Linked DNA regions of Callithrix jacchus. The protein of the gene in region 4 binds, or shares a complex with, the protein of the main gene of each other region. Links are inferred from orthologs where the notes say so. Each region holds a gene or a part of one and is shown on either strand. Other genes may lie near its edges.

Region 1 (3,970 bases), on a different chromosome or scaffold from region 4:
CAAAGGGAAGAAACCAGCTTAAAAAGGCTGAGAATACCCAAAATCAGAACACCTCTTCCTCTACAGGAGATTACAGTTTCTCATCAGCAACAGAACAAGCCCTGATGGAAAAGGACTGTGTGCCATTAACAGAAGTAGGCTTCAGAAGGTGGATGATAAGAAACTTCTGGGAGTTAAAAGAACTTGTTCTAACCCAATGTAAAGAAACTAAAAACTTTGAAAAAAGGTTTGACGAAATGCTAACAAGAATAGACAATATACAGAGGAATATAAATGAAGTAACGGAGTTAAAAAATACAACACGAAAACTTAGCGAAATATGCACAAGTTTGAATAGCTGAATTGATCAAGCAGAAGAAAGGATATCAGAGGTCAAAGACCTACTTAATGAAATAAAATGAGAAGACAAGAATAGAGAAAAAAGGATAAAAAGGAAGAGTAAAGTCTCCAAGAAATATGGGACTATGTGAAAAGACCTAATCTACGTTTGATAGATGTACCTGAATACGACGAAGAGAATGAATCCAAGCTGGAAAATATTCTTCAGGATATTATTCAGGAAAACTTTCCCAATCTAGCAAAGCAGGACAATATTCAACCCCAGGTAATACAGAGAACACCACAAAGATATTCCTCAAGAAGAGCAACCCCAAGGCACATAATTGTTAGATTCACCAAGGTTGAAACAAAGACGAAAATACTAAGGGCAGCCAGAGAGAAAGGTCAGGTCACCCACAAAGGGAAGCCTATTAGACTTACAGCAGATTTCTCAGCAGAAACCCTACAAGCCAGAAGAGAGTGGGGGCCTATATTCAACATCCTTAAAGAACAGAACTTTCAGCCCAGAATTTCATATTCTGAGAAACTAAGCTTCACAATTGAAGGAAAAATAAAATCTTTTTTGAACAAGCAAGTACTCAGAGATTTTATTACCATCAGGCCTGCTTTACAAGAGCTTCTGAAAGAAGCATTATACATAGAAAGGGACAACCAGTATTAGCCTTTCTAAAAATATACCAAAAAAGTAAAGAGCATCAACATAAAGAAGAATTTACATCAACGAATGGATAAAATAGCCAGTTAACATCAAATGGCAGTAACCCTAAATTTAAGTCGACTAAATCCCCCAATCAAAAGATACAGCCAAAACCTAATGGTATGCTACATCCAGACCCATTTCACATCCAAAGATACACAAAGACTCAAAACAAAGGGATGGAGAAAGATTTACCAACCAAATGGAGAGCAAAAATAAATAAATAAATAAAAAGCAGGAGTTGCAATTCTCACGTCTGATAAAATAGATTTCAAAGCAACAAAGATATAGTGGTAAAAGGATCAATGTAACAATAACAGCTAACGATCCTAACACCCAGATACATAAGACCTATAAAGAGATTTAGACTCAACGAGACAGAAAATTGATGAGGGCAGCCAGGACTTGAACACAGATCTGGAACAAGTAAACTTAATCAATATTTATAGAGCTCTCCATTTTAAATACACAAAATATACATTCTTCACTTTAAATACACAAAATATTGACCAGCCATTATTAATACCCATTTTTTAGAATAAAGCAATATTCCTGTTTTCTCTCCCTTTTTTTCTTCCTCTTTCTTCTTCTCCTTCACTCCTTTTTTCTCTTTCTTTTCTTCTTTAAAAATAAAAATAAAGTAAATAAAATAAAGAGACTACAGAACTAAAAAAAAAAAATCCTGGGTTTTTGACACTTTTCTATCAGGAATGCTGCCAATTATGATTTTTGGGCAGGATATTTTGTTTCTAAGGTCTATTTCTTCATTTCTAAAATGAAAACTGAATGACTACTAAATTAATCTGTGTTGGACCATTTTCAAGCATGTTAAAAAACTGTCTTCCAGGACAGTCTTCTTTAATTAAAAAAGCAAACAAACTATATAATCAGTGTCACAAGATACCAATAATGCCCACATGATTAAAAGCATTCGGTATTTAATTTGTCATCCAGTTTGTACATGAGCACAATGTCGTGCTTCTGTCCTGAGACTTTAAAACGGTAACACTTGCAAAGTCTATTTTAAGACTTCCCATGCGGTTTTTTGTTACTTACTGCTCACTACAATCCAATACAACAGCAAGCATTTTTTTCATTCTACCAATAAGTTGAGACTTCAAGTGGTAAAGGGACTGAAACCTGGTCTGTGAACCATCGTTAAACTTTTTGCTATCCTCAAACTAATGAGCAAATTATATGAATAAAACAAGACAAAGATTTTTAAAACTGCTGTCGCCGCCCGGACGACTGTTCATCTTATTTATAAACCTGAACACGTAAGTCTTATGGAAATAGTAAAGAATCAAGAACGTATTTTTTTTTTTTTTTTTTTTCAAGAGAGAAAAGTTCGGAATAATCACACTGGGTTTTTATCCGGCTTTTGCAGGCGACAAGGAAAGGACCCCTGGGCCCGCAGCAGCTGCAGGCTCCAGCAGCCGCCGGTAAACTATGGGTCGTTCCGGGGTCCTCTTCCCCTCGCCCGCCCCCAAGATCCCGCCGCGGTCGGGTCTCCCAACCTCCCACCGATCCTGACTGGCTGTGTCTCCGTAACCCCGGCTCACGCCCGCGGCGGCAACCTTGAGGATACGGTTGATGTAGTTCTCCAAGGCGGACGTCATGCTGCTCTGCCCGGCAGTTCCGGGTAACACACCGGTGCCGGCGGCAGGCGGAACTGAATGGGCGCGCTAGAACCCTGCTGTGGCCTGCGCTTGCCGGGCCGCAGCAATGTCGCGAGACCTGCTGCCGCGCAGCTGCCCCCGAATCGGAAATTGTAATGAACTGGCCAATCAAACAGAAGCCGCACAGCGGCGAAGATAGAGCGCGCGTACGCAGTGTGTTTTCGCTGTAGTTCCGGGCCGTGTTCCGGAAACCGCGCGAGACAAAAGTGACCTAGAGGCAGACAAAAGCGAGCGAGAGACGGAAAAGGAAGAAGCTTCCTGAAGGTGGCGTAAGAGTGAGGGTGAGAGGGTGCGTTTTCTTTCAGTGTGGTGGAAGTTAATAAGTAAGACTGCTGAGACGAGGCAGAGCAGACAGGAAGAAACGGGATAAGGTGTTTTTATTAGGAGTGAAGGAGGAGAAGAGACAAGTACTGTTGTGTGAAATGCAGGTGCGGGTAGGGGAATCTCTAGTTTTCTGCAGCAGGAGATGAAAATAACACTAAAAATAAGTCCAGTTGCCCGGGACAAAGTTGCGCACGTTATAACGGCACAGTGTAAATCATCAATGAAAAGCACGTTCGTATGTTCTGCTTTTGTTTCTAAAAGCACTCCCAAATAGAGGTGCTGTTACTTTTTAAAGAAACTAAATGCAAATAGACAAAGGTGTGTGATCATTCCTTAGAAAATGAATATCCACGCTTCTACCATGCCACGATGGTCTACCCTTCCCTAGGGTTAAATTAGTAAGTAAAAGGCTCCTGCAGCACCGAGAAAGGACTGATGCAGAAAAGTACCAAACTTGGTTCTTATCTTGGCTCTGCTAGCAAATTGGTGTCATTGCACGAGTCACATCAACTCTTTTGGGCCTCAGTTTCCCTAGATGCTGCTATAGGTGCCGTTTAAGATATTTCCAGACATGATACTAGAAAATGCCACTGTGCCTATACGTTATTTACTGTGGTGCCCTAACATGAGAGAGCTGGAAGTTAGAAAAAGGTTTATACATAAAACACCAGCAGGAGTGATTTCTTTTTTTTACAAAATATCTTTATGATTTCAGTTAAACTTGTGATTTCTTAAGAATTGTGGTTTTGGAATCACTCTTGCAACCTCAGCAGTTTTCCTCGGAAAAGGAAGCATTTCTTAATTAGAGCATACCCACAAAATACCTGCAAGATGACTACCAAATAGTTAATATTTTATATTCTGGAACTTATTCCGATCTGTTTGAAATCAAGTGTAGTCAGGAATTGGATTGTGAATGTCTCATATTCTC
Region 2 (4,292 bases), on a different chromosome or scaffold from region 4:
GCAGTGACCTCTGCCATCTGATCCTGCTCCCCAGTGTCTGGTGATTGGCCCATCCTCCCTGCCTGGGACGCCTCACCCCTCCCCTGCAGGCTCCTCCGGCCCAGGCCTCTCCTGCCGAGGATGCACTTTTGCGCTCTCTGAGGGGCTTCCCAGTGGCTGCCCCACCCTACTTCTCACCCCTGCCACCTCTCAGGTGCTTTCTCCAGACACCAACCCACCCACACCTCTTAGGGTGCTGCCCACTGTACCATCCCCCAATCCCAGGAAGCAGGCACCCTGGGCATTATTCTGTCTGCCTGAAAGGCGGGGCCTAGTGAGCTGGCCCACGGCCGCTCCGCGCACACCCAGGGCAGCCATGTGCAGGGAGGGGTGCGGGGTGAGGGTCTGCAAACCATGACCCTCAGGCCAACCTGGCCCGCTGCCCATCCCGTAGTGAAAGTCCCAGGGCCCAGCACCACACGCGCCGCTCCCGCTCCAGCGCTGACCACGGCAGGTCTCCCGCTCTCCCCGCATAGCTCACTGGTTTCAGAGACCATCTGGGATGCAAAGCTGAAGGTATTTGCCGACCAGCCTTTGCCTACAGAGAAGGTCTGACTGCCCAGGCTTGGGCCCCCCTCCCCAGCTCGCTCTCTGTGCTCTCAAGTTCCTCTCCTGCAAAATGAAACTCATCACCACCGGGGGCGGTGGCTCACGCCTGTAATCCCAGCACTTTGGGAGGCCGAGGCGGGTGGATCACGAGGTCAAGAGATCGAGACCATCCCGGTCAACATGGTGAAACCCCGTCTCTACTAAAAATACAAAAATTAGCTGGGCATGGTGGCGCGTGCCTGTAATCCCAGCTACTCGGGAGGCTGAGGCAGGAGAATTGCCTGAACCCAGGAGGCGGAGGTTGCGGTGAGCCGAGATCGCGCCATTGCACTCCAGCCTGGGTGACAAGAGCACAAACTCCGTCTCAAAAAAAAAAAAAAAGAAACTCATCACCTACACAATGGGGCCAGACACATCTGTTCAGGTGCCCAGCACTGGCCTGACCAGAGTCCCCTCTCAAGGGGACAGACGTGAGCACCGAGGCAGGTGGGTGCACCCAAGGTTCCTCTCCCCTGGAGAGCTAGGTTCGGAATCCCCACCCCTGGGGCATGTGACTGACTGGACAAGACGTCACTCTTGCAGTCAGGTGACGTGAGGAAGACAAGGAACTCTGCAGCTGTGATTGAAGCCCGGGAACCAGCAGACTGTAAGCCAATCTGGAGGGAAACAGCCTGGGTGGGCCTGAGGGCATCAGGTGAGCCCTTCAGGAACCAGACCTTTCTGCTTTTTTTTTTTTTTTTTTTTGGAGACAAAGTCTAGTTCTATCATCCTGGTTGGAGTGCAGTGGCATGATCTCCGCCTCTCATGCGCAAGCGATTCTCCTGCCTCAGCCTCCCCAGTGGCTGGGACTACAGGCATGTGCCACTATGCCTGGTTGATTTTTGAGTTTTTAGTAGAGACGGGGCTCTGCCATGTTGGCCAGGCTGGTCTCAAACTCCTGAACTCAAGTGATCTGGCGCCTCAGCCTCCCAAAATGCTGGGATTACAGGCGCCTACCACCACACCCAGCCAATTTTTGTATTTTTAGTAGAGACAGGGTTTCACCGTATTGGCCAGGCTTGTCTCGAACTCCTGAGCTCCTGATCTGCTTGCATCAGCCTCTCAAAGTGCTGGGATTACAGGTGTGGGCCACTGCGCCCACCCTGTCTGAGGCTGTTTAGGTTGTCGCGACTTGGTGGAGGCCAGGGATACTGCTCAGCACCCTGCAGTGCCCAGGTACGGCCCCAACCCAGAGAATGATCCGGCCCCAAATGTGTCCACACTGTTGGTGCCGGGAGAGATCTTGACATGGGTGGGGGAGAAACAGAAGCCGGGAGATCTGTGGGGAGCTGGGGCAGCCCTTGGACACACAGGACTGCTCAGAAGGCCAACCCTGAAATCCCAATCCCTGCTATGCCACTGTGACTTTGGGTTCCGTCTGTTTCCCGCCCCGTGCCTCAGTTTCCTTGCATGCAAAATGGGCATACCAGTTCCTACCTCCCGGTGTAAGTAGGAATACCGCATAAGGTAGTCTAAAGAGGGGCCTGCGAGGCCAGGCGCGGTGGGTCACGCCTGTAATCCCGGTACTTTGGGAGGCCGAGGAGGGAGAATCAATTAAGGTCAGGAGTTCGAGACCAGGCTGGCCAACATGGTGAAACCCCCGTCTCTACTAGAAACACAAAAATTAGCCGGGCGTGGTGGCCGGCGCCTGTAATCCCAGCTAATCGGGAGGCCGAGGCAGGAGAATCGCTTGAACCCGGGAGGCGGTGGTCGCAGTGAGCCGAGATCGCGCCATTGCACTCCAGCCTGGGCATCAGACCGAGACTCGGTCTCAAAAAAAGAAAAAAAAAAAAAGAAAAGAATAAATAAAAGCGGCGCCTCCGCATGCATGCGTCCTCATCATCGCTCTTCCTGGGTTTATTTCAGAATTTTAAAGGCGAGGTGCCGACGGCGGGAGCCTCCTCACCTTCGCGGCCTCCCTGGAACTTCACCCGGATCGTCTTGTCGATGTACTTGGACAAGTCCAAGATGCTCTCCTTTTTCTTCTTCTCCTTATCCTGCGGGGAAAGCAGAGCGCGTGAGGCGCGCAGCGCGGCCCGAGCCCCACGCCCCCAGCTCCGGATCCCGCCGCGCGCTCACCGCCATCTTGCCGCGCCGCGCCGCTCTGCGCAGGCGCCACCCCGCGCCCTTTGACCCCCTCCCGGCTTCGCAGGCGCATGCGCGGCGCATGCGTGGCCCGGGGTCTCGCGGCGTTGCTGGGAAACATCTGTCGACGGTTGCGGTGGGCACCGGCCGACATGGCGGCGGCGACGGCGGCTGCGCTGGCGCGGCTTGTGGCGCCCTTTCTGCTCCTCGCGGCCCAGGTGAGCGCGGCGTTGGTTCCGACGGCCCCGCAGGCTACGGCTTCTGGGCCTCTCGGCCCCCGGGCTACGCCCAGGAACGACCCAGGTCGTCTCCGGGGGTTCCAGCCTCGGGGATCCGCGGTCACCGCGCCGTTGGCCGGCGGTGCCGGGGCCTGGCCGTGACCTTGCGGGGCTGTCCCCGGCTCGTCTCCCGTCCCTGCCTCGGAGGCCCTGCGCCGCCGCAGCGCCCCTCACTTCCTACCGGGTCTGAAGCTTGTGCCCACTCCATCCCTCCGTTCTGCTTGTCCTCTTCGGGGTCTCCAGCCGCCGCCGGGGTCGCCTGTCTCTGGCTCTGTGGCCTTGGGCAGGCGGCTGCCCACCCCGCGCCGAGCCTCAGTTTCCCCGTAGGCGGAACGGGCGGGGTGCTGGCTAGCCTCACCCTAGGGGGTGCCGTGGGGAACCCAGAGGCGTCCCGCGCGTCCCCGAGTGTCTGGCAGCGCCCTGGAGTGGCCAAGAGCCCAGCCCTGCTCTGGGGCTGCATCCCTGCTCCATCTTTTAGTCTGTGACCTTGGACAAGGGAATCCCCTGCTTGGAGCGTCAGCTGCTCGTCCGCAGGAAGGCTGAGGATGGTGTGGATTCTGGAGATGATGCCCAGGGTGACCAGCGCCCAGGGCCAGCACGCCCTCGTTATGTTAATCGTGTGTCGTTTGCTGCAAAGCATCTCAGGTTCTCGTGGGGACAGTCTACGAGATAGCACTGCCCTAACTGCGTTTTTTATTTTCTTATTTCCAAATCTTCCCTCTCTCCTGACTTTAGGAGCGCAGCCCTACAAATGCGGCCCTTAACCTTGACTCCTCTCTCCGAGTTCTCACTCTTAAGGCGTCGCTGCCACCGGCGCTCTCTCAGCCCCACTCCTCCAGCTCCGCCGTCCTCCCCCTGCTGTGGCTGCCTTTGTCCCCCATGTCCCCAGTCCAGCCTCGACACAGCAGGAGTGACCCTGTCACATCCAGATGAGTGTGTCCGTGCATTTGTGACCTGGCTATCAGAAGCCTGCAGTGGGCTCCCTGGCCGTTTCTCTTACCCTGGAAGCCCTCCGCAGAAGCTTTCTAACAACCCCACCCCCTGCTGCTCTTTCGGCCCCCTGGACGTCCCCCCATTTTGCAGCCAGGGACCTACAACTCCCCAGACGTTTGGAAGGAGGGAAGAACCAGAGGTGGAAGGAAGGTTCCCTCCTGGAGTTTGCCTGGAAAGGGTTTTCCAAAGCAGGTGTGTGTGTGTGTGTGTGTGTGTGTGTGTGTGTTTTGAGAGGGAGTCTTGCTCTGTCGCCCAGGCTGGAGTGCAGTGGTGCCATCTCAGCTCAGTGCAACCTCCACCTCCCAGGTT
Region 3 (4,011 bases), on a different chromosome or scaffold from region 4:
TATTAGGGTAACTATAATCCTAGGGCCTGTTGACCTTCGCACACCCACAGCAAAGCCCAGAGCTCTCTTTGGGCTCCCTCAGACTCCCGGCCTGCTGATCTACTCTGCCTTCATGGATCCAGTTGATTTGGAACCCTTATTTTAGCAGATGCACATTGATGATACAGAAATGACCAAAGAGCGACCAATCTACCCATCACTAGACAGCTCTCATGTAAAGAGACAACAAAGAACATCTAAGTCTTTATTAAGGTGAGTTTTTACAAACAAGCATCTATCCCAGTGTGGGGGGTGAGGATGGGAGGGGAGAGTGGGGCAGCAGGAAGATGAGAATTCTCATCTATTGATAATAAAGCTCCAGGTTCATCCCATCGTGGATTTCATCTGAAGGAAAGGTGTTAAGGAATCTTGACTCTGTGTTCCATCCCCACTCCTTTCATTCATTCACAACTGGGTCAGGGTGGCCTAAGGTCTCAGCCCAGGGCTAAAAAAGACCATTTTGGACTGGGTCATTTTTATTTGGAGAGAACTGAAACTTTACAAAAAAATTTCTGGGCCGGGCATGGTGGTTCACACCTGTAATCCAAGCACTTTGGAGGCCAAGGTGGGCGGATCACCTGAGGTTGGGAGTTCAACACCAGCCTGACCAACACAGTGAAACCCCATCTCTACTAAAAATACAAAAAATCAGCTGGGCGTGGTGGCAGGTGCCTGTAATACCAGCTACTCAGGAGGCTGAGACAAGAGAATTTCTTGAACCCAGGAAGTAAAGGCTGCAGTAAGCCAAGATTGTGCCTCTGCACTCCAGCCTGGGGAACAAGATCGAAACTCTGTCTCAAAAAAAAAAAAAAAAAAAGTTTCTGTTCCTTCTAGGCCAGACCCAATAGCTCATACCTACAATCCCAGCAATTTGGGAGGCCAAAGCGGGAGGATCACTTGAGGCCAAACATGGTGGAACCCCATTTCTACTAAAAATACAAAAACTAGCAGGGAGTGGTGGCACATGCCTGTAATCCCAGCTTCTTGGGAGGATGAGGCAGAATTGCTTGAACCCAGAAGGTGGAGGTTGCAATGAGCCAAGATCGCACCACTACACTCCAGGCTGTCTCAAAACACTAAATAAATAAAATAAGGTGGCTGGTGTGGTGGCTCATGCCTGTAATCCAAGCACTTTGGAGGCCAAGGTGGGCAGATCACCTGAGGTTGGGAGTTCAAGACCAGCCTGACCAACATGGTGAAACCCTGTCTTAAAAAAATTTTTTTAAATAAATAAATAATAATAAGGTTCTGTACCTTCTGTACAATAGATATGCCTGAGTCTCACTCCACCTTGACCTACTGTCCAGCACTCAGGTGGAGCTCAAAAATAAGTATTTTGAACTTGAAGTCAAACTATTTCACCAGTCAACCACCCTCCTCCCCAACCAAATAATTACCTAGCTCCTCCTATTTTCTAAGTGCTCACCATGTGCCACATAGTAAGTTAAACACTTAATATGCATAATCTCATGCAGACTTTAATTTCGAACAAAGATAACCGAGGCTGGGTATGTAGATGCTGCCTCAAAAAGTCACACAAAGGATACAGTCCCCCAGAGACACGTGGTCCTTAAAAATCGTGTACCTAAGGAAAAGAAACCTTTAAGAGACAAGGCTAAAGGGGCTCTTCAGCCTGGAGGCAGACTGAGGGTAGCAAAGAGCTGCCTGCTGCGCTCCCACAACCAAAACCTTCAGGCCTAGACCAGTCCACCTCGTGGCTCTACCACTGCACTCACCACTTCTTCAGAACAATCTTGTTCCAACGGGTGCCAGTTTGGGCTGCAATCAACTTCTTAAGGTCCCCGATGGTATCATCCGTGCTGGGCGCAGAGGAATTAAGGCAAATGGGAGCGGTAGAACACGGAAGAGGACATTCTGGGGCTGCACACCATTTGCCAGAACCCTATCCCCTCTTCTCCCCATTTTTTGTTGTTTTTTTTTTGGAATGCAGTGGCAGGATCTCCGCTCACTGCAAACTCCGCCTCCCGGGTTCAAGCGATTTTCCTGTCTCAGCCTCCCAAGTAGCTGGGACTACAGGTGTCCGCCAACAGGCCCAGCTAATTTTTGTATTTTTAGTAGAGACTAAAAATACCATGTTGGCCAGAATGGTCTCAATCTGTTAACCCCGTGATCAGCCCGCCTCGGCCTACCGAAGTGCTGGGATTACAGGGGTGAACCACCGCGCTCGGCCTCTCCCGGGTTTAACTAAAGCCCTCCGACAACACAGATTGAGTTACCCGCCTCACGTCAAGCACCCCTGCGGGTACCACTGCCTCTCGGCTGCCAGTGGATACTTGCATTTAACGCGGACCTTCTTCCCCAGACGGTCATTGCAAACAACCTCGATCATCCTAGCTGGAGCTACACAGGAGCGCGGGGGTGGGAGGCAACAGAGTTAGACTTTCAGGGGTCTCCCAGGCCAAGAAGAACCAGCTTACAAGTCTCCCAATCCCAGGCCCTAAAAATCCCTATTACTGAGCCTTCCATTCTGCCCTCAACCCCCCGGACTCGAATACTCCCAGGCCCCAAATCCCGCGTCCCAAGACCGCGAACCCCAGGCAGCCGCGCCTCCACTTCTCGCCGCCAGAAGGCCCGGCCACAAAACTCTATGGTCTCACCTGCCACTGACCCCAGACCCTGGGTGGCGGGGGCGCGACAGCTTTCCCCGACTGCGGGCCTCTCCGCTTGACCCCCTCACCTCGAATCGCCTCGAACCTGCCGACGCCACTAGGTCCTCGTACGAGCGCTGAACCCCGGCCGCAGTTAACGCTGGGAACCGGAAGCGGAAGTAAAAGTGAGGAGCCGGAAGCCCCGCCCCTGGCCAGGGGGTGTGGTCAACACTGGGTTAAGTTCTTCCGTGTTTGCGGTAGGGAGTGTGCTTGCTCTTCCCAGGTACGGTTTCGGTGTCCCAAGCACGGCTTGGCACGCGGACGCCTGTGGTAGGCACACGGGGTAGAACCGGGGGCTTCGGCGGATGTGGGGACGGGGAAGGGGTGTGGAACGAGAGCCAGAGGTCGGTGCCGGCTCCCAGCTCGTTTGAAGCCATTGTTCATTGCGGGGAGATTCGGTCGCATGGTGAGGACGCCAGAAGGTCCCGGGGTTCGGGATGAGCTCCTTCTGATCCTGAGCCCGAAGCCTCTTGCTGCAACTACGAGGAGCGAGGGCGGAGGGTGGGAGATGCGAGTCCTGCAGTTATCCCTTCTGACCCCTTGGGTTCATTCAGGGCAGGGCCTCGTGAGCATTCTGCTCACCTCTGCCCTCTGGCCGTCGCGTCCCCCGGGGATGTGGACTCCAGTCAGTAGGCGAAGCCTGATCCTGGACTAGACTCCACGCTGCCCAATAGCTGCTGTTACCTTATGGTGCCTCACAGTTCCAGGCTCTTGGTGTCCCGAACAAGATTTGGATGAGACACACAGCGATAGCAAAGCAGCAACCTTAGTAAGCACAGTATTCCAGTCGAAGTGGGAGAGCAGACTGACCTCTGCGAGATGAGATCACCCCCAGCTTGGTGTAGTTTGGTTCTTTTTATGTGTTTTTTTTTTCTTTTCTTCCCAAGGCTGCCTAATCTCTAGCCAGTGTCTGCCTTTTTGATTGATATGTGTGTTGCTTAGTTACTTTGACCTCTGTGCGCTTGAGGGCCGCCTCCATGCGTTAATTTTAAGTTCTTGCGTGATATACCCTCCATATGCATGAGCGCTAATGAGCTGATTATCATCCTTATGTTAAGGGTACTTTTTGTCTTTAATGCACTTAACTATCCCTGAAGAGCTGCCCCTTATTAGTTTGGTCTGGATTTTGCCGACCATGGGATCCTTGCTCAGTTTTTTATTTTCCTTTTGTTTTGCTGCTCGGCTTCTGCCTTTTATCTTCCTTTTTTCTCACCCTCCCCTTCACCTTGCTTCTGCTCTCGACTTATTTTGCCCTTTATCCAGCTTTTAATTCCCTTTGCTATTCTTATGCCTTATTTTCCAT
Region 4 (4,070 bases):
TTAAGCCCTGGAGAATACCTCAGTTTATAGTGTTACTACTCAGTTATTTCTTTTTATATAATCCTTTATATGATTATATATTAGTTTATAGAATTAGGGCTTGGAGAGTATCTGTTTACAGTGTTACTACTCAGTTATTTCCCTTTGTACAATCCTCTCTATATGATCACACATTAGTTCATAGAATGAGTGCCTAAAGAATATCTTACCACTCAGTTATTTTCATATATATTAAAACTATATCTAAGTTTATAATCAGAGGAATGCCTAGAGTAGATACAGTACAGAGCATGAATTAAGGAATAAGCAGCTTATAATCGGAGGAATGCCTAGAGCAGACACAGAGCACCGCATGATTTAAGGGAAAAATGTTATACCAGGGCAAGAATCCATGGCCTAGGCAGCAGCATTCAGTATTATAGATACCCGCTGTATGGCAGGCTTGGGGCAAGAGCCACTCCTCCTGATAAAGGAGTTGTAGGACCTTGCACCAGTTCCTGTGGAAGGCTGCCCTCAGACCGGCAATCACACCTTGGTGACTGTGAACTTTATCAGCTCTTGTTACTGTGCTGCTCGAAAAGCATTCCTCTATAGAACTTATTGGAAGCTGCCAGCAGGTGGCATAGACCCTGACAGCTCTGTCACTGCTATGTGACTTAAAGCATCCTCCTATAAATCTTCTTAGTAGCTTACCCATAGATAGAGGTATTGCACACTGCACCCTCTTCACTGCACATGGCCCACCTCCATACCTCAGTGACCTAATGGGGGTGGACCCCTTACTGCACACGGCCCTTGCCTTGATGACCTAATGGGAATGGACGCCTTGCTGCACACTGTCCACCTCCCAGCCTAGGTGACCTAATGGGGTGGACCCCTTGTTTTATTGCTCACGACCCTATCACTATCCTTAAAGATGACTTCACTCACTGCCCTGCCCCCTAACCTAAACACAACAAACACTCACGCTTCTGGACATTTGGGGCCTCACCTGACTCCACTCATAGGGGCGTGGCCCCTCGAGCCCAGCTGCATTTTCCCTGTACTTCTGTGTCCTGTCTCTTTTTTATTTTTTTGAGACGGAGTTTCGCTCCTGTTACCCAGGCTGGAGTGCAATGGCGCGATCTCAGCTCACCGCAACCTCCGCCTCCTGGGTTCAGGCAATTCTCCTGCCTCAGCCTCCCGAGTAGCTGGGATTACAGGCATGCGCCACCATGCCCAGCTAATTTTTTGTATTTTTAGTAGAGACGGGGTTTCACCATGTTGACCAGGATGGTCTCGATCTGTTGACCTCCGGATCCACCCGCCTCGGCCTCCCAAAGTGCTGGGATTACAGGCTTGAGCCACCGTGCCCGGCCTGTCCTGTCTCTTTATTCCTTGGATCCTGCGCCTCAGCACAGCATAAGGCACACCCTGTGGGCCATCAGCCCTACAAGCTTCACTGGCCACCCAGATACTGACTCCCAGTGGCTTTATCCAGTCCAAACTCTGGCTTTTCACATGCACATCAAGCTCCACAACCCCAATTATCCATCCCCCTCCAAATCTGCTTCTCTTCTCTGCTCCTCAGTTTCAGTAGAGATGACACCCACAACTCATCTGGCTGCTCAAGTCAAAATTCAAGGAATCATTCTCAATGCCTTTTCCTTCCCAGTCTCATACAAGTGCTGAGTTCTGTTCATTCCTCCTCCAAAACACCTCTCCAACCTGTCCACTTCTCTCCATCCCACTGCTGCTGCATTGGTGCAGGCTACCATCGGCCCTCATGTGGTCTCTAGCAGTCCTGATTTCCTGGTCTCCAATCCTGACTACCTTTGACTAAGTTCTCAATCCAGCAATGTTTACAAAATATGGATCTGAGCAACTCACTCCTCAACTCACATCCATGGCTCCCTACCAACCTCAAGACAATCTATATTTCTTAACGGAACCTACGGTACACGGTCCTTTGTGTTCACATCCCTAACTATCTTTATCTTACTCCCTCATTTCACTACCATGAGCCCTACACGATTCTTCCAATACCAGGTTTCTCTCGCCTCTGCATACGCTGATACTACTTCATTCATTCATTCAACACATTTATTGAGGATCTGTAATTGTACCAGACAACTGAGGAAAACAGAAGCCCTCTGTCCTCAAGGAGCTAGGTGGAGAAAGTCAATCTCTAATCCTAATCAACCATAGAAAATACTTTTTTTTGAGACAGTCTCGCTTTCTTGACCAGACTGGAGTGCAACTGGCGCGATTGCAGCTCACTGCAGCCTCTAACTCTTGGGCTCGAGAGGTGCCGTAGAAAAACTATTTAATAGGAGTTAACGTAGACAGTCTGGGGGTTTCCCGGCCTGGAGAGCTTCGCAGCCACTGCGCGCACACCCAGACCCGCCCGCTCCGGGACCCCTGCCCGCCCCGCCCCCTGAGCAGGTCCCGCCTCCTCACCGGCCTCATAGCCGTCGTCGCGCTTCTCCCGCTTCACGCGCCGCTCTGAGGGCTCTGCCTGGCTGCGCTCCCGCCCGTGCGTGCTGCTCCGGGCCTCAGCTTCGGCCCCGCGCCGCCCACTCCCGCGCTCGCCTCCACGTTCCCGGCTCCGCTTCCGTCGTTCGCCGCCGCTACCGCCACTGCCGCTACTCCGGTGCTTGTGTTTTTTGTGCTCCCGGTGCCGCGGCGGCTGCTCGGTGGCCCCACCGGTCCCGGCCGCCGCCGTCGTCCCGGCCGCCTCTTTCTCTCCGCGGTGCTTCTTGGACGACCCCATAGTAGCGCGTCAGCCCCAAGCCCGGCCGCTGCCGAGCCCAGACAACGCAAAATGGGAACACTTCCGGGTCGCTCGGCAGCCGCTGTCGTGTTGCGGGAAACTAAGAGCGGCTGCTTCCGCCGCTCGCCTTGGAGCCTGCCCCAGAGGCTCATGGGAAGGCTAGGATCAGGGCTCCACTGCGCATTCGCGCGGTCTTGGGTCCAGTGGGTTCTGTGAGCAGGTGGTCCTGTTGCGCATGCGCTCCTCAAGGGACGCGGAATTAACCCCGGAGATGGGATCCCAAAACTGGAAGGAGTTAGACCTGCTCCACCCACCACACAAACAGCAAATAACTTTACTGAACACTATCAAATGTGTTCAGACACCTTAAGCCAGTGTCTTCGAGGCTGGAAGTTCCTCCTTGGCCTCCCTGCGCTTGTACTTCCCCGGCAACGTGGTGTTCACTACCTCACGGTCTCCGTGGACACCTCCCTCCTACAGTGGGCGCTCGCTTCCTGGACTCCTGGGGTCGTGGCTCCAACGGGTGTTGTTTTCCCGAGGTCCCCAATTGCATAGCCCAGCTTCCGACTCCCTAGAACCAGTATCCTCAGGGAACGCTGCCTTCCCACGTCCCCCGGGTTGTTTTTCTCTTGAGATAGGATCTCACTCTGTTCCTCAGGTTGGAGTGCAGTGGCGCCATCACCGTGCACGGCAGCCTTGACCTCCCGGGCTCAAGTGATCCTCCCACCTCAGCTTTCCCAGTAGCTGGGACTGCAAGTGCACGCTACCACGCCCCTCTAATTTGTGTATTTTTTTATAGATATGGGGGCGGGGGTCTCACTATGTTGTCCAGGCTGGTCCTGAGCTCAAGCGATTCACCCGCCTTGGCCTCCCAAGTGCCGAGATTACAGGTGTGTGCCACTCTGCCTGGCCCTGGATTGGGTTTTTTAAACGTGTGAACTGTTAAGGAGCTCCACATGGGTGTCAGTGTGTCCGTGGAACCCCTGAAATTGAATGCAAAATATGGCACATCTGTGTGTATGATTTTTTTTCTTGAGGAGAGGATCCCTAACTTAAAACTACTGGAACTTAAAAAGACCAATGCACACATTCCCTCCTGAAACCCCTCCCCCCACCCAACGGTTACTAAGACTGTGGCTCCCTGTGTGGCACAGTCAGTCTGTGTTAGGGTATGTTGTATGCACCCCTCTGAGGGTCCACCCCCCCTCCCACTGACTGGGCATCCTCAGAGGCGGGAGTCGTTCCATCTTATTCACGCTTGAATTTCTAGGACCCAGCATACACATTGAGGATGGGGTGGAGAAGTCACAGTTCTTGC
Region 5 (3,963 bases), on a different chromosome or scaffold from region 4:
TCGTCACTGGTCATCAGAGAGATGCAAATCAAAACCACATTGAGATACCATCTCACGCCAGTTAGAATGGCGATCATTAAAAAATCTGGAGACAACAGATGCTGGAGAGGATGTGGAGAAAAAGGAACACTTTTACACTGTTGGTGGGAGTGTAAATTAGTTCAACCATTGTGGAAGACAGTGTGGCGATTCCTCAAGGATCTAGAAATAGAAATTCCATTTGACCCAGCAATCCCATTACTGGGTATATATCCAAAGGACTATAAATCGTTCTACTCTAAGGACACATGTACATGAATGTTCATTGCAGCACTGTTTACAATAGCAAAGACCTGGAATCAACCCAAATGCCCATTGATAATAGACTGGATTGGAAAAATGTGGCACATATACACCATGGAATATTATGCAGCAATCAGAAATTATGAGTTTGTGTCGTTTGAATCTGGAGAACATCATCCTCAGCAAACAGACACAAGAACAGAAAATGAAACACCGCATATTCTCACTCATAGGCGGGTGATGAAAAATGAGAACACATGGACACAGAAAGGGGAGTACTAAACACTGGGGTCTATTGGGGGGAAAAGGGTAGGGCCAGTGGGAGGGGGAGGTGGGGAGGGATAGCCTGGGGAGAAATGCCAAATGTGGATGAAGGGGAGAAGGAAAGCAAAGCACACTGCCATGTGTGTACCTACGCAACTGTCTTGCATGTTCTGCTCATGTACCTTAAAACCTAAAATCCAATAAAAAATTAAAAAAAAAAAAAGATTCAAAACTTTTACATTTTATGGTTTTAACCAATATAGAAAAGTGCATACTTCATAATCTTCACAAACTCCCCACAATTCTCGATTAGGAGTGTGTGTAAATCAGGAGGACTTGACGCTATGGACGACAGGATCCTGGAAAAGAACAGTATCCTTTGAGTTGAGGAGCTGAGTCCCGCCACCCGCCCAGCAGCCCAGGCCCGGGTCCGCGCGTGCGCAATGGGAGCCGGCCAGCCCGGGAGGAAGTCGGAATGCAGGAACCCCGCCCCTTTCCCGGCTTCCTCCTCCCTTCGGTTCTACCCAGAGTGCTCTCCCCAGCCACAAGTCGGCCGCGCTCTCCCCTTCAGTGCTTGGAGCTGTCTACGTCCTTTCACGCTGCGCCTGCGCGGCCCCGCCTCGCCCCACGCGCGGGCTCCCGCTTCGGTTTCCCCAGACCTGCTGGCGGCAGCCTGATCTTTTCCCGGTCCGGCCCGCTGCCCGCGGCGCCAAAACCATGGTGGGTACTGTGAAGTCAAAAGGTGGTGCCCTCGGGGAGCTCGGACGGTTGGGGCGGGGAGTCTGGCCTTTGTCCCCCTGGGCTGGAGTTTTAGGTCCTTAGTCTTGTGCCTCAAGTTCGTTGAGGAGATACCTGAAAGCAAATGGGAATTTTTTTTTTTTCCATGGGAGGTTAAAAAAACTCAACCCTGAGAGAGAGTCAATGGGGACAGCGGGAGACAGAAAAGTTAGACCTTAGAGCACTTAATCTGCCGGAGACCAAGCAGGCTTCCGGCGGGTGGGGGTGGGATATTTTCTGCAGTTCATTGAAAGGAGTGGGCAGGGACCCCAGGAAGGTGGCCGACTGAGAGAGCACACTTGGGCCGACGTATGCAGGGCAGAGCCTCTCTGGAACTTTAAGTGATGGGCTCAATGCAGTGTGTGGAATAATATAGGCTCCAGCCTTTCACCTCTGTCAGCCGATTATTCTTTCCTGTGAAGTTTTGAGAACTGTCAGAGATGCAGTGGGGTTCACAATACCAGTGTTTGGTAATACTGGCAAGGGACACTCCTCCCTACCATGTTCCTTCCCACATGATGGTTTTCCCCCTCTCACCCAATAGCTCTTCTATTCTTTTTTCAAGTCCCTTGTGGGCAAGGATGTGGTCGTGGAACTCAAGAATGACCTGAGGTAGGTACCTGTTCCAACAAGTCTGTTGGGGGTGGGTGTGCCCAACGCCCTGGAACCTCTTTAATTTGAGAACTATTTGAAGGCTGGGAGAGGTGGAAGATATAAGGAAGAAATAAATGGGTAGGGCTCAGTGGCTCAGTACTGTAATTCCAGCACTTTGGGAGGCTGAGGAGGGAGGATCGCTTGAGCCCAGGAGTTTGAGGCTGCAGTGAGCAATGATTACTCCATTGCACTCTAGCCCAGGCAATAGAGCAAGACCCCATCTCTAAGAAAAATTTAAAAATAAGTGCCTTGTGCCTTAAATTTACAGATAAGCTTGGGATTATGCTGTGTATTGGAAAACAATACAAAGCATTATATAGTTTAAAGAGTAAGTACTAGTAGCCAGGCTCCCTGGCTCTCGGGTTGGGCGAGGTGACTCATACCTGTAAGCCCAGCCTTTGGGAGGCCGTGATGGGTGGTCACCACGAGGTCAGGAGTTCAAGACCAGCCAGACCAAGATGGTGAAACCCTGTCTCTACTAAAAATGCAAAAATAAGCCAGGTGTGGTGTCAGGCGCCTGTGATTCCAGCTACTCAGGAGACTGAGGCAGGAGAATCGCTTGAACCTAGGTGGCAGAGATGGCGGTGAGCTGAGATTGTGCCACTGCACTCCAGCCTGGATGATAGAGTGAGACTCCATCTGGGAAAAAAAAAAAAAAGTAAATACTAGGCTGGTCATGGTGGCTCACACCTGTAACCTCAGTGCTTTGGGAGGCTGAGATAGGAAGATCACTTGAGTCCAGGAGTTTGAGACTAGCCTGGGCAACATAGTGAGACCTCTATTTCTACAAAAAATTTAAAAATTAGCCAGGTGTAGTGATGCATGTCTGTAGTCCCAGTTATTAGGGACTAATCCCAGCCTGAGGTGGGATGATCACTTGAACCCAGGAAGTCGAGGCTACAGCAAGCCATGATTATACCACTTTACTCCAGCCTGGGTGACAGAGGGAGACTGTGTCTCAAAAAAGAACAGGCCATAGGATGGGCATGGTGCACAGTGGCTTACACTTGTAATCCTAGCACTTTGGGAGGCTGAGGTGGGAGGATCACGAGGTCAAGAGATCTAGATCATTCTGGCCTATATAGTGAAACCTTGTCTCTACTAAAAATACAAAAATTAGCTGGGCGTGGTGGCCCGCACCTGTAGTCCCAGTTACTAGGGAGGCAGAAGCAGGAGAATCATTTGAACCCGGGAGGTGGAGGTTGCAGTGAGCCAAGATTGCACCACTGCACTCCAGCCTGGCGACAGAGTGAGACTCCCATCTCAAAACAAAAAAAGAACAGGCCATAAACAGCAAATGTTATTTCTACAAAATGAGAAGCACCCATTAGGAAGAATATAGACTCTCTGATAGAAGGTTCTACGGGGCTAGAAGGACAGGGAGAAGTCTCTCAAAAATACAGCATTTAGTCTAAGTCCTGAAATAAGATTAAAATAAAAGATACAAGTGGGAGGAGATTTAAAAGCAGTGCAGGCATTAGTTTTCTGTTTATCCTTTATTTTTTTTATTTTTATTTTTTTTGAGACAAGAGTCTGACTCTGTTGCCCAGGCTGGAGTGCAGTAACACTACTCTTATCGGCTCACTGCAACCTCAGCCTCCCGAGTTCAAGTGATTCTCTTGTCTCAGCCTCCCCGAGTAGGTAGGATTATAGCTGCCTGCCACAATGCCCAGTTAATTTTTGTATTTTTTGTAGAGATGAGGTTTCACCATGTTGGCCAGGCTTGTCACAAACTCCAGACCCCAAATGATCCACCCGCCTCATCACCCCTAAGTGCTGGGATTACAGGCATGAGCCACCTTGCACGGCCCAGACACTGGGTTTTAAATACTTGAGAATTTTTTTTTTTTTTTTGAGACGGAGTTTCGTTCTTGTTACCCAGGCTGGAGTGCAATGACATTATCTCGGCTCACCACAACCTCCACCTCCTGGGTTCAGGCAATTCTGCTGCCTCAGCCTCCTGAGTAGCTGGGATTATAGGCACGC
Region 6 (4,162 bases), on a different chromosome or scaffold from region 4:
AAAAAGTGCCAAGTGTGATGGGAGCGGCCCCATCACCTGGCTCAGGGAAGATCACAAGAAAATTCAGAAAAGAGAATTCCTTTCTCTGCGCTTTCTTGGAACACCTGGAGTCTGGTTCTCAGGTTTAGACCCATGAGGACTAAATCCAGTGGCTCCTAATTCCAGAAGCTTTCCAGGACTGCCCTCCCCGGCTGCTAACCCAGGTCACTCCTAGTCCTACCCTGACCACAGGGAACTGGAAGTGTGTATCCCATGAGGCCTTGTCCATTCTTTTTGTTTTCCCCTGAGACGGAGTTTCACTCTTGTTGCCCAGGCTGGAGTGCAGTGGCACAATCTAGGCTCACTGCAACCTCCACCTCCTGGGTTTAAGTGATTCTCCTACCTCAGTCTCCCAAGTAGCTGGGATTACAAGCATGTAATCCCACCACTCCAGGCTAATTTTGTATTTTTAGTAGAGACGGGGTGTCTCCATGTTGGCCGACCTCAGGTGATCCACCCACCTCGGCATCCCAAAGTGCTAGGATTACAGGCATGAGCCACTCCACCTGGCCCGCCTCGTCCATTCTTGGCCACTCCTCCAGGAAACGCCTGGATAGCCAGGACTTGGGGACTCTGGATGTTCAGAAGGTGGGGACGGGCTGAATGAATGAGTTCTAACTTTGCCCACGCACCGTTCTACACAGTGGGAATAATAGAGGGAAGAAAAATGAAGATCCTGCTTCCATAAAACTTGTCACAGGATGGACCCTTCCAACTCTGCCCTCGGGGACACAGCAGGAGGGGCCGGCTCCCTTCTCTGAATTGTTGCACTTGAAACCGCCTTCGCAACAACTGTACCTGAGGAAATTATGACAGCAAAAAGAGATCAGACCTAAGCAACTCCATCTTGCTTGTAACCTTTAAGCTGTCCTTGCTCTTTCCTGGGCATAGGCCGAACTAACCTTGGGAAGAAATTCAGTCTATAGTTTGACTCTGAGACAAGATTGGTAATAGCTTTTTCCAGAAAACACCCTCTTCTTACCTGGGGACCAGTCAGCCTTTGGAGGACTGACAAGCTGCAAGATTAGAAATTATCGTTTAGGGGTCACGAAGCCTCTGGCTCAAGAGTCTGAACCTCCCCAAATTGCTCCTGGGGATAACATCACTATTATAAAAATCTAAGATCAGTGCTTGAGATATTTTTGCAGACCCTGTACTAGGTGGATCCGCTGACACCACCCAGACGAGTAATGTGGCTCAACCAGTCCCGCAATCCCACCCACGGACAGAATCCCACCCAGGAACAGAAGACAGCAAGAAAATCTCACTTCGACCTCCTCAGGACTCCATCTCCAACCTCAGGAAGCTCCAGCCAATCAGCACCCCCCACTTCCTGAGCCCCTACCGACCAAATCATCTTAAAAACTCGGATCCCCTAGGCTGGGTACAGTGGCTCACCCTGTAATCCCAGAACTTTCAGGAGGCTGAGGTGGGTGGATCACCTGAGTTCAGGAGTTCCAGACCAGCCTGGCCAACATGGTGAAACCCTGTCTCTACTAAAAATACAAAAAAATTGGTCGGACATGGTGTGGTTGACGCCTGTAATCCCAGCTACTCAGGAGGCTGAGGCAGGAGAAAAGCTTGAACTCGGGAGGCAGAGGTTGCAGTGAGCCAAGATTGTGCCACTGCACTCCAGCCTGGGCAACAAGAGTGAAACTCCAGTCTCCTGCAGAGCTGGCTCTGTGTGAATTGCTTTCTCCATTGCAATTCCCCTGTCTTGATAAATCGGCTCTGTCTAGGAAGCAGGCTAAGTGAACCCACTGGGTGGTTACACACTGACCCCAGGATTTAGGGAGCATCTCTTACTAATCCTCAGCTCTGATGCAGCCACCCCTGTGGGTCCCTCCTGGTTACTAAATCTCCCACTGTCTCACAGAGTCTGGAAGTCACATCCCCAACAAAGGCCTAGATTTCTCTCCCTGAAAAAAGAAGCGCCAGATGCTGATGGGCCAGGAAATTCCCAGCTCCGACTTCGTTTTCCGATCTGCACATTGAGGACACGGGCACTTTCTGGCCCAGATCCAGAACTTCCATAATCACAAACATCTGGCCCTGCAGAGACCTGGGCCTCAGTTTTTCCTTCTGTGTATTGGGAGGATGCACTTTATCCACTCCTGCTCAAAATGCCCCCTTCCCCTGGAATGACATGCTATGTGACCCAAGGAGAAAGACCACACCCCAGCACCAGGCCCGATTTTCAGACAGAAAACAACAGGCCTAGGACGCTGTGCTGCGAGCATTTTATGCATCTTGCAAGCTCTGAAATTCCTAAAGCTAAGTTTCACAACTCAGACTGGCCCCCTACTTCCCAGCACTCTAATTTTCAATCTGGGAGGTCTGACCGGGCCCGAAGCGTTCGGGGCCCCTTCCCTGCCCAAAAACTTGCATTTGGCGGGCCCCCACCTTTTTTGACCTCAGTTTCCCCACCTGAGGGGAAAAAATGGGAAAAACTAAGTAAAGCGAGCCCGCTGTACTACGGATACAAGCCCGTGCAACCCTAAATCTCAGACACAGACGTCCTAGAGCCATCTGCAGTCTCCAGCCTCAGTTTCCCAGCCTCGTGCCGGGAGACGGAACGCGAGGCTCTGACTCTACGTTCACCCCGCGCCAACCCAACCGTCAGCGCCCGCCCGGAGGGCTCCCAACGCCTGCGGCTCCCGCCTCCCGATGAGACCCCGCCGTTGCCCTGCCCTCACCATGGTGCCGGCGGGGACCGGGCTCGCCGGCCACTTCCGCCACCGCCGCTGCACACGCTCCCGGCGGTCGTCGCAGCGCCGCGCGCCACTAGGCTGAAAGAAAGTGGCAGACACGCGAGCCAGTCAGCACTGGGCTCGAAGGGCGGCCAACCAATCCACGCGGAACACGGCGGGGCCCTCTGGGCGAAAGGGGCGGGCGGGCCGCGTTCCCGCCGGAGGAACGAGGAATAGAGCCGTAAAGTGTCGCGACTTGTAATGCAAAAGGGGGCGGAGCAACGCGCCCAGGCGCGGGGTGTTTTGTGGGTAAGCGCATGCGCAGGTGAAGCCGTCGGTCTCGGGCTCCACGCTGTGGGCAAAGCCAGTTAATGCCTTTCGTTTGCAGTCTTAGAGACAGCGAGGTCTCGTGGTGATTGGGACGTCCCTCAGGTCGCCCTTCGGACTCCTAGTTTTCTAATTCTGTAATTATCCAGGAACATCATTTAGTGGGTTGGAATCCTGACCACGCCCCTCGGAGCCTCAGTTTGCTGTAAAATGGGTTATAATAGTAGTGTCTGCTCCAAAAGGTTGCTTGCTGTGAGGATGAAATGAGTGAAACTATGTAAAAAGCACTTAAAACAGCGCCTGGCGATCGGGCGCGATGGCTCACGCCTGTAATCCCAGCACTTTGGGAGACCGAGGCGGGTGGATCACGAGGTCAAGAGATCGAGACCATCCTGGTCAACAAGGTGAAACCCCGTCTCTACTGAAAATACAAAAAAAATTAGCTGGGCATGGTGGCGCGTGCCTGTAATCTCAACTACTTGGGAGGCTGAGGCAGGAGAATTGCCTGAACCCAGGAGACGGAGGTTGCCGTGAGCCGAGATCGGCCATTGCACTCCAGCCTGGGTAACAAGAGCGAAACTCCGTCTCAAAAAAAACAAAAAACAAAAAAATAAAATTAGCCGGCAGTGGTGTAATCCCAGAATCGCTTGAACCCAGGAGGCAAAGGATCACGCCATTGTACTCCAGCCTGAACCCAGGAGGCAAAGGATCACGCCATTGTACTCCAGCCTGAGCAACTAGCGAAACTCTGTCTCAAAACAAACAAAAACAGGTCTGGCGCATATTAAGTACTTAACAATATACTTTGTGCCTGCTTCTGCTCACAGAAATGAACAAAACACAAAATTCGTGGCTCTCAGGGAGACAGTAAACAAAGTAAATAGGCAAATGCTGTTGTTTCCTGGGGCTGTAACAAACGCCTGCAAACTGAGAGGTTTAAAACAACAGAACGTGATTTTCTCACAGTTCAGGAGACCAGATTCTGAACTGAGGCTGTCAGTGGAGCTGGCTCGCTCCGGAGGCTCTGTGTGTCCTGTGCCTCTTCCTGGGTTCTGCTGGCTGCTGCCAGTCCTTGGAGTTCCTTGACTTATACATGGAGTCTTCTG
Region 7 (4,129 bases), on a different chromosome or scaffold from region 4:
CAGCTGCTCCTCAGATGAACGAGGCCTTTAAACTCCTCATGGCTCCCTACCCACCACACCAGTGTTAATCGCTCCATCAGGGGTCTGTAGGAAAGGGAAAGAAATTTGAATCAAAAACTTACTGTTTTTTGAATAATTGAAACAACCAGTAGGGAGTGTGCAATTTGATGTCTTTTGCAAAGAATGTTTTTAGGGACAGGGCTTTTTATCCTATCATGTTTGTTCTTTGCAACTAATTATTTAATTTTAATGGCACTTTTCTTAAAATTTTTATTTACATTATATTTTATATTGCAAGAACTTCAAATACAGCCCTCTTAATAAGTCTGTAACGGTTTTGTCTTTACCCAAACTGAGCTTTTGTAGAAGGATATAAGGAAGTCTCTATTCTTTACCAAATCACATCCAGTTGCTTTCTGTCCCTGATACCAAGGGTTCATTTCTTCTGCCTTTAGCCAAAAGAGGGATACAAGGGAGAAACTCTTTATCTTAGAAAAACATTCTGCATCTTAGATTTTATAACACTTAATGGAGTTAAGGATCTGTGTTGGAAGATCTTATCACTTTGTGTATAGTGTTACAAATCATAAATAAAATAAAGTATAAGTTTTCAGCTGATGAAAGTATGTGACAGGGAAAAAGGAACCAAGTCCTGGTGTGACTGTTCTCTTCTTTTTCCTCTCCAATCCTATTAATAGCAAGAGTATTGAGAATTCATGCAAAATTCCAAACCAAGTTCCCACAGGTAGCACTTAGCTAATGTCTGCACACCATTTTCAATTGGAACTAGTTTATAATGTAACACAATTAACGTCATTATAATTCGGAGTTACTTGAGTGGTTTTAATTATTTTCGTATCAATTAACATTGCCATGGAAACAGTCTCTTGCTAAAATGGCTTAAGTCTTCACACATTTAATCAATATCCAGAGGCAGATTTAAAGACTTGAGGTGTTTGTTTTATTTATTTGTTTGCTTTAAACTATTCAAGGACGTTTCTGGGTACACACGGCAGTTACTTAAAACTGTAAATTCCAGTTTTCTATGACTTCAAGTTATTTTTTACACTGCAAATAAATCCTGCCCAAAAGATCACTTCTAGCTTTCTGGATTTTTGTTTTTGTTTTGTATTGAATTGTATTTGTGTTGTATCCGGATTTCTGTTAGAGGAATTCCTTTGCACCAATTTCGCCACTGGACAAACCAACCAGGATTCTTGGATTTGAGCGCTTTGGCGCGGACCGGCCTTTTCGGCCCCAGCGGGCTGCCGTAGCAGAGAAGAACACTGATTGGCTGAGGCAGAAAAGTACCGCTGCCTCGCCGGTTTCGGTTTCGATTCGATGAAGTCCGCGGAGCCCGGGCTCTTGGGGCACCTGTAGTGAGGATTTTGGATCCCGCCGACGAGGTGAGCCGCGTGGCTGCGCGAGCCGAGCAGCCTCGGAAACGGCCTGCGGGGAGCGGGCTGGGGCTCCGGGGAGGGACTGCTGGGTGGTGGGTCCCCGCGAAATGCCGCTTCCAAGCTCTGTGTGCACGTAATGGCCGGGAGTGATCTGTTGGTGGGCGCCTGGAACCGCCGTCAGCGAGGCGTCTACACTGCGCCGAGAGGAGCGGCACCGTCCCGGCTGGCGTCGATTTGGCGTTCGAGACTGCACGAAGTTGTTCGGAGGTTATCGAAATTCCCCAAGGGAACCCCAGCGCTAATCCCAGGATTCGGCGGGAAAGCGGATCCCGAATCTAGGCCTAGGCTTTGCCTGGATTCTTCCAGGCTTCAGAGAATTGCGAAGCCTACCCTACATCGGAGTGGCTGCGCCTAACCACAGGAATTAAGGACTGGACTAACCTGAATTACCGAGTTGTCTAGTCGGGGAACCCCTTGTATGGTCTTAAGTCCTATCGCCAGAGGTTTTCTATGTGTCCGCGTTTGTGCCCCGGCGCGTGAATAGCGGGCATTTTTGTTTAAGGTGTGTAGGATTAGGATGATTGGAATTACCCCACCCTACTGCTCTTAGTAATACGTGACTGTTGTAGAAAAATTGCAAACATAGAAGACTTTAGTGAAGAAAATAATATTCGCTGAACCCTTTCACCTGCCATCTTTTTCTCCTGTATGTACCAGCGTCTACTTGGACTAGGACTGTTCATGTTTAATTACTTAACAGTGTAGTTTTCCAGTTCCATTTAAAAACTCTTCCTAAATATTATTCTAATTTTGTATCTTCTTTTGAGTGGCTGGCCCATCATTGTGGATCCCAGTGTAGGTCCCATAAATTATTCAGTCATTTCCCGACTGTGGGACATTTGGTTGTTTTTGAATTTTTGCATCATCTTAGCATCCCAGATCATATTTTGATAAACATTTCCCCCCCATCCTGTAGATTATTTCCTTGGACTAGATTCTCAGAAGTGAAATTATCAGATAGATGCTGTCATCCATAAGGTCTTTAGGCTTTCATGCACATTGCTGCAGTGTTTTCCAAAAAAGTTTTAGAGGTGGTTGGCAGTTTTACTTGCTTGAATATTGTGCAGAAATCTTGAGAGGCTTATGTCTGTAGTGTGTATCACTGGAGTTAACTGCAGTAGACTGCCTGAATGTTAGAGCAGGAAGAGACCTAAGTGGTCATCTAGCAAAGCCCCCTTATTTTGCAGATGAGGAACCTGGGGCCATGAGAGGTGAGATGAGTTATCCAAGTCACACAGCCAATTAAGTAGCAGAGCTGGGATTAGAACTGAGGTTTCCTGCCTCCCAAGTGAGTACTCTGTGCTGCATCAGGCAGCCTCTCACTGAACTGTGGCATAGTAGATATTAGAATTTAAAAATATGTTTACATCACTTGGATTATTCTCTTTTTTAAAAGTGTACTAACAGATTTTAATCATCAGAGGGATCTTTAGTACTGAAAAATTGTAAAGTGATCATTTTCATGGCCAAGGCTAGAAATCCGTTATTTAGAATGGCAACCCCTTCAAGGCTTTGACAGTTGTTTTCAGATTCTCTATATGTTAGAATAAAAAAAAAATCCCTGATAAATTATAATCTACACTCCATCATTTGGTTAGATGTAGGTGTTGGTTCTCATTTGCTATATTTGGGAGATTTCTTTAAAACTCCTCACTTTAAGGCCAAAGAACAATGTTGCTGGTTTTTAAATTTTTTTTATTTTAGGGCTTATAGCAGAGATTCTCAACTTCCATGGACTTTTTGGCCTGGACGCATTTGTTGTGGAGGGCCGTCCTGTGCATTGTAAAATGTTTAGCAGCATCCCTGGTCTGTACTCACTAGTATAGTAGTAGCACCACCTTCCTCAGTCATGAGAGTTCATGGTGTCCCCAGATATTTCCAGCTGTCCCTGAGCATGGTGGGGGAGGACAGGGGGGATTGCCCCTAGTTGAGAACCATTTGCTTATAGAAATTATCTGGAGAACTTTATAATGTAATGTATAGTGCCTTTGCCTCAGTAGATTCAGGAATTTGCATTTTAACAAGCATCTCTAGATTTGGATACAGCTGGTTCTTGAATGACAGAAACAGTTGTTTTCTCCGTCTTTGGTGCTCATTATAGAGATTACTTGATTAGTATTTGTTGAAGTACACACTTGATATTACTAGTCACTGTACCCATAGTTTGGGCTGGTGGGGGCTGGACAGGAATTTTGCTTGACACTGGCTTTGAATGTCACTTCCACAGACTTGGACAGTATGCTTAGATACCAGGGTTACCAAGTGAGTGAGATATTTTCCCTGTCCCCAAGAAGCTTAAAATTCACTGTGGGAGATCAGTCAGCAAATGGAAACATTACAAAACGGCCTGATAAGGGCCACGACTGAGAGTGGAAAGAGGTGCTTTCAGTGGACTAACTTCGCCTTTGGAAGAGAGGGAGAGAAGAGGCCCCAGCTGCTCGGGAAGGAGGGATTGTCTTCAAAAGACAGCCCGGCTCTCCACTGTGTCAGAGGGAGGAATTTAGAGAGCTGTCCTCGGTGTCTGATTGCCTCGTCAGACACTGCTATCTTAGTATCACGCTGCAATTACTTGGGTTCTAATGTTGTTTCCTTGCAATTTTTGCTTTTCAATTTTTTCCACGCTAAACTGTTAAGTACTCTAGAGTAGGTAAAAACTTACAGGTAAACAT

The links.
Region 1: SART1 (region 4) and LSM8 share a complex: the UniProt entries of both Homo sapiens proteins name them as parts of the U4/U6-U5 tri-snRNP complex. The link is inferred for Callithrix jacchus from reciprocal best matches to the Homo sapiens genes SART1 and LSM8.
Region 2: SART1 (region 4) and LSM7 share a complex: the UniProt entries of both Homo sapiens proteins name them as parts of the U4/U6-U5 tri-snRNP complex. The link is inferred for Callithrix jacchus from reciprocal best matches to the Homo sapiens genes SART1 and LSM7.
Region 3: the proteins of SART1 (region 4) and UBL5 are in contact, whole or in part, in a crystal structure (PDB 4PYU), measured with the Homo sapiens proteins. The link is inferred for Callithrix jacchus from reciprocal best matches to the Homo sapiens genes SART1 and UBL5. Residues at the interface, in NP_005137.1 of Homo sapiens: Ser117, Leu118, Ser119, Ile120, Thr123, Leu126, Arg127, Leu130, Leu132, Lys133, Leu135; in NP_001041706.1 of Homo sapiens: Met1, Glu3, Arg15, Lys17, Cys18, Asn19, Asp21, Asp22, Asp26, Lys29, Leu30, Ala33, Gln34.
Region 5: SART1 (region 4) and LSM2 share a complex: the UniProt entries of both Homo sapiens proteins name them as parts of the U4/U6-U5 tri-snRNP complex. The link is inferred for Callithrix jacchus from reciprocal best matches to the Homo sapiens genes SART1 and LSM2.
Region 6: SART1 (region 4) and LSM4 share a complex: the UniProt entries of both Homo sapiens proteins name them as parts of the U4/U6-U5 tri-snRNP complex. The link is inferred for Callithrix jacchus from reciprocal best matches to the Homo sapiens genes SART1 and LSM4.
Region 7: SART1 (region 4) and LSM6 share a complex: the UniProt entries of both Homo sapiens proteins name them as parts of the U4/U6-U5 tri-snRNP complex. The link is inferred for Callithrix jacchus from reciprocal best matches to the Homo sapiens genes SART1 and LSM6.

What each region holds. Positions count from the first base shown.
Region 1 is NC_133512.1:88,800,659-88,804,628, reverse strand, and holds the start of LSM8 (LSM8 homolog, U6 small nuclear RNA associated), read right to left. Parts: upstream 2,801-3,970; 5' UTR 2,656-2,800; coding exon 2,625-2,655; intron 1-2,624. UniProt on the Homo sapiens protein: Plays a role in pre-mRNA splicing as component of the U4/U6-U5 tri-snRNP complex that is involved in spliceosome assembly, and as component of the precatalytic spliceosome (spliceosome B complex).
Region 2 is NC_133523.1:2,193,180-2,197,471, forward strand, and holds the start of LSM7 (U6 snRNA-associated Sm-like protein LSm7), read right to left. Parts: upstream 2,801-4,292; 5' UTR 2,797-2,800; coding exon 2,707-2,796; intron 2,625-2,706; coding exon 2,534-2,624; intron 1-2,533. Other genes in the region: SPPL2B (signal peptide peptidase-like 2B), read left to right, coding at 2,865-2,930. UniProt on the Homo sapiens protein: Plays a role in pre-mRNA splicing as component of the U4/U6-U5 tri-snRNP complex that is involved in spliceosome assembly, and as component of the precatalytic spliceosome (spliceosome B complex).
Region 3 is NC_133523.1:9,021,370-9,025,380, reverse strand, and holds UBL5 (ubiquitin-like protein 5), read right to left. Parts: upstream 2,801-4,011; 5' UTR 2,658-2,800; intron 2,401-2,657; 5' UTR 2,390-2,400; coding exon 2,334-2,389; intron 1,860-2,333; coding exon 1,776-1,859; intron 1,625-1,775; coding exon 1,587-1,624; intron 385-1,586; coding exon 341-384; 3' UTR 231-340; downstream 1-230. UniProt on the Homo sapiens protein: Ubiquitin-like protein that plays a role in cell proliferation and sister chromatid cohesion by associating with spliceosomal proteins. Participates thereby in pre-mRNA splicing by maintaining spliceosome integrity.
Region 4 is NC_133511.1:123,038,019-123,042,088, reverse strand, and holds the start of SART1 (U4/U6.U5 tri-snRNP-associated protein 1), read right to left. Parts: upstream 2,801-4,070; 5' UTR 2,753-2,800; coding exon 2,440-2,752; intron 1-2,439. UniProt on the Homo sapiens protein: Plays a role in mRNA splicing as a component of the U4/U6-U5 tri-snRNP, one of the building blocks of the spliceosome. May also bind to DNA.
Region 5 is NC_133505.1:39,306,746-39,310,708, reverse strand, and holds the start of LSM2 (U6 snRNA-associated Sm-like protein LSm2), read left to right. Parts: upstream 1-1,163; 5' UTR 1,164-1,263; coding exon 1,264-1,266; exon of another isoform or gene 1,267-1,398; intron 1,399-1,867; coding exon 1,868-1,935; intron 1,936-3,963. UniProt on the Homo sapiens protein: Plays a role in pre-mRNA splicing as component of the U4/U6-U5 tri-snRNP complex that is involved in spliceosome assembly, and as component of the precatalytic spliceosome (spliceosome B complex).
Region 6 is NC_133523.1:17,038,834-17,042,995, forward strand, and holds the start of LSM4 (U6 snRNA-associated Sm-like protein LSm4), read right to left. Parts: upstream 2,801-4,162; 5' UTR 2,739-2,800; coding exon 2,736-2,738; intron 1-2,735. UniProt on the Homo sapiens protein: Plays a role in pre-mRNA splicing as component of the U4/U6-U5 tri-snRNP complex that is involved in spliceosome assembly, and as component of the precatalytic spliceosome (spliceosome B complex).
Region 7 is NC_133504.1:50,820,501-50,824,629, reverse strand, and holds the start of LSM6 (U6 snRNA-associated Sm-like protein LSm6), read left to right. Parts: upstream 1-1,329; 5' UTR 1,330-1,962; intron 1,963-4,129. UniProt on the Homo sapiens protein: Plays a role in pre-mRNA splicing as component of the U4/U6-U5 tri-snRNP complex that is involved in spliceosome assembly, and as component of the precatalytic spliceosome (spliceosome B complex).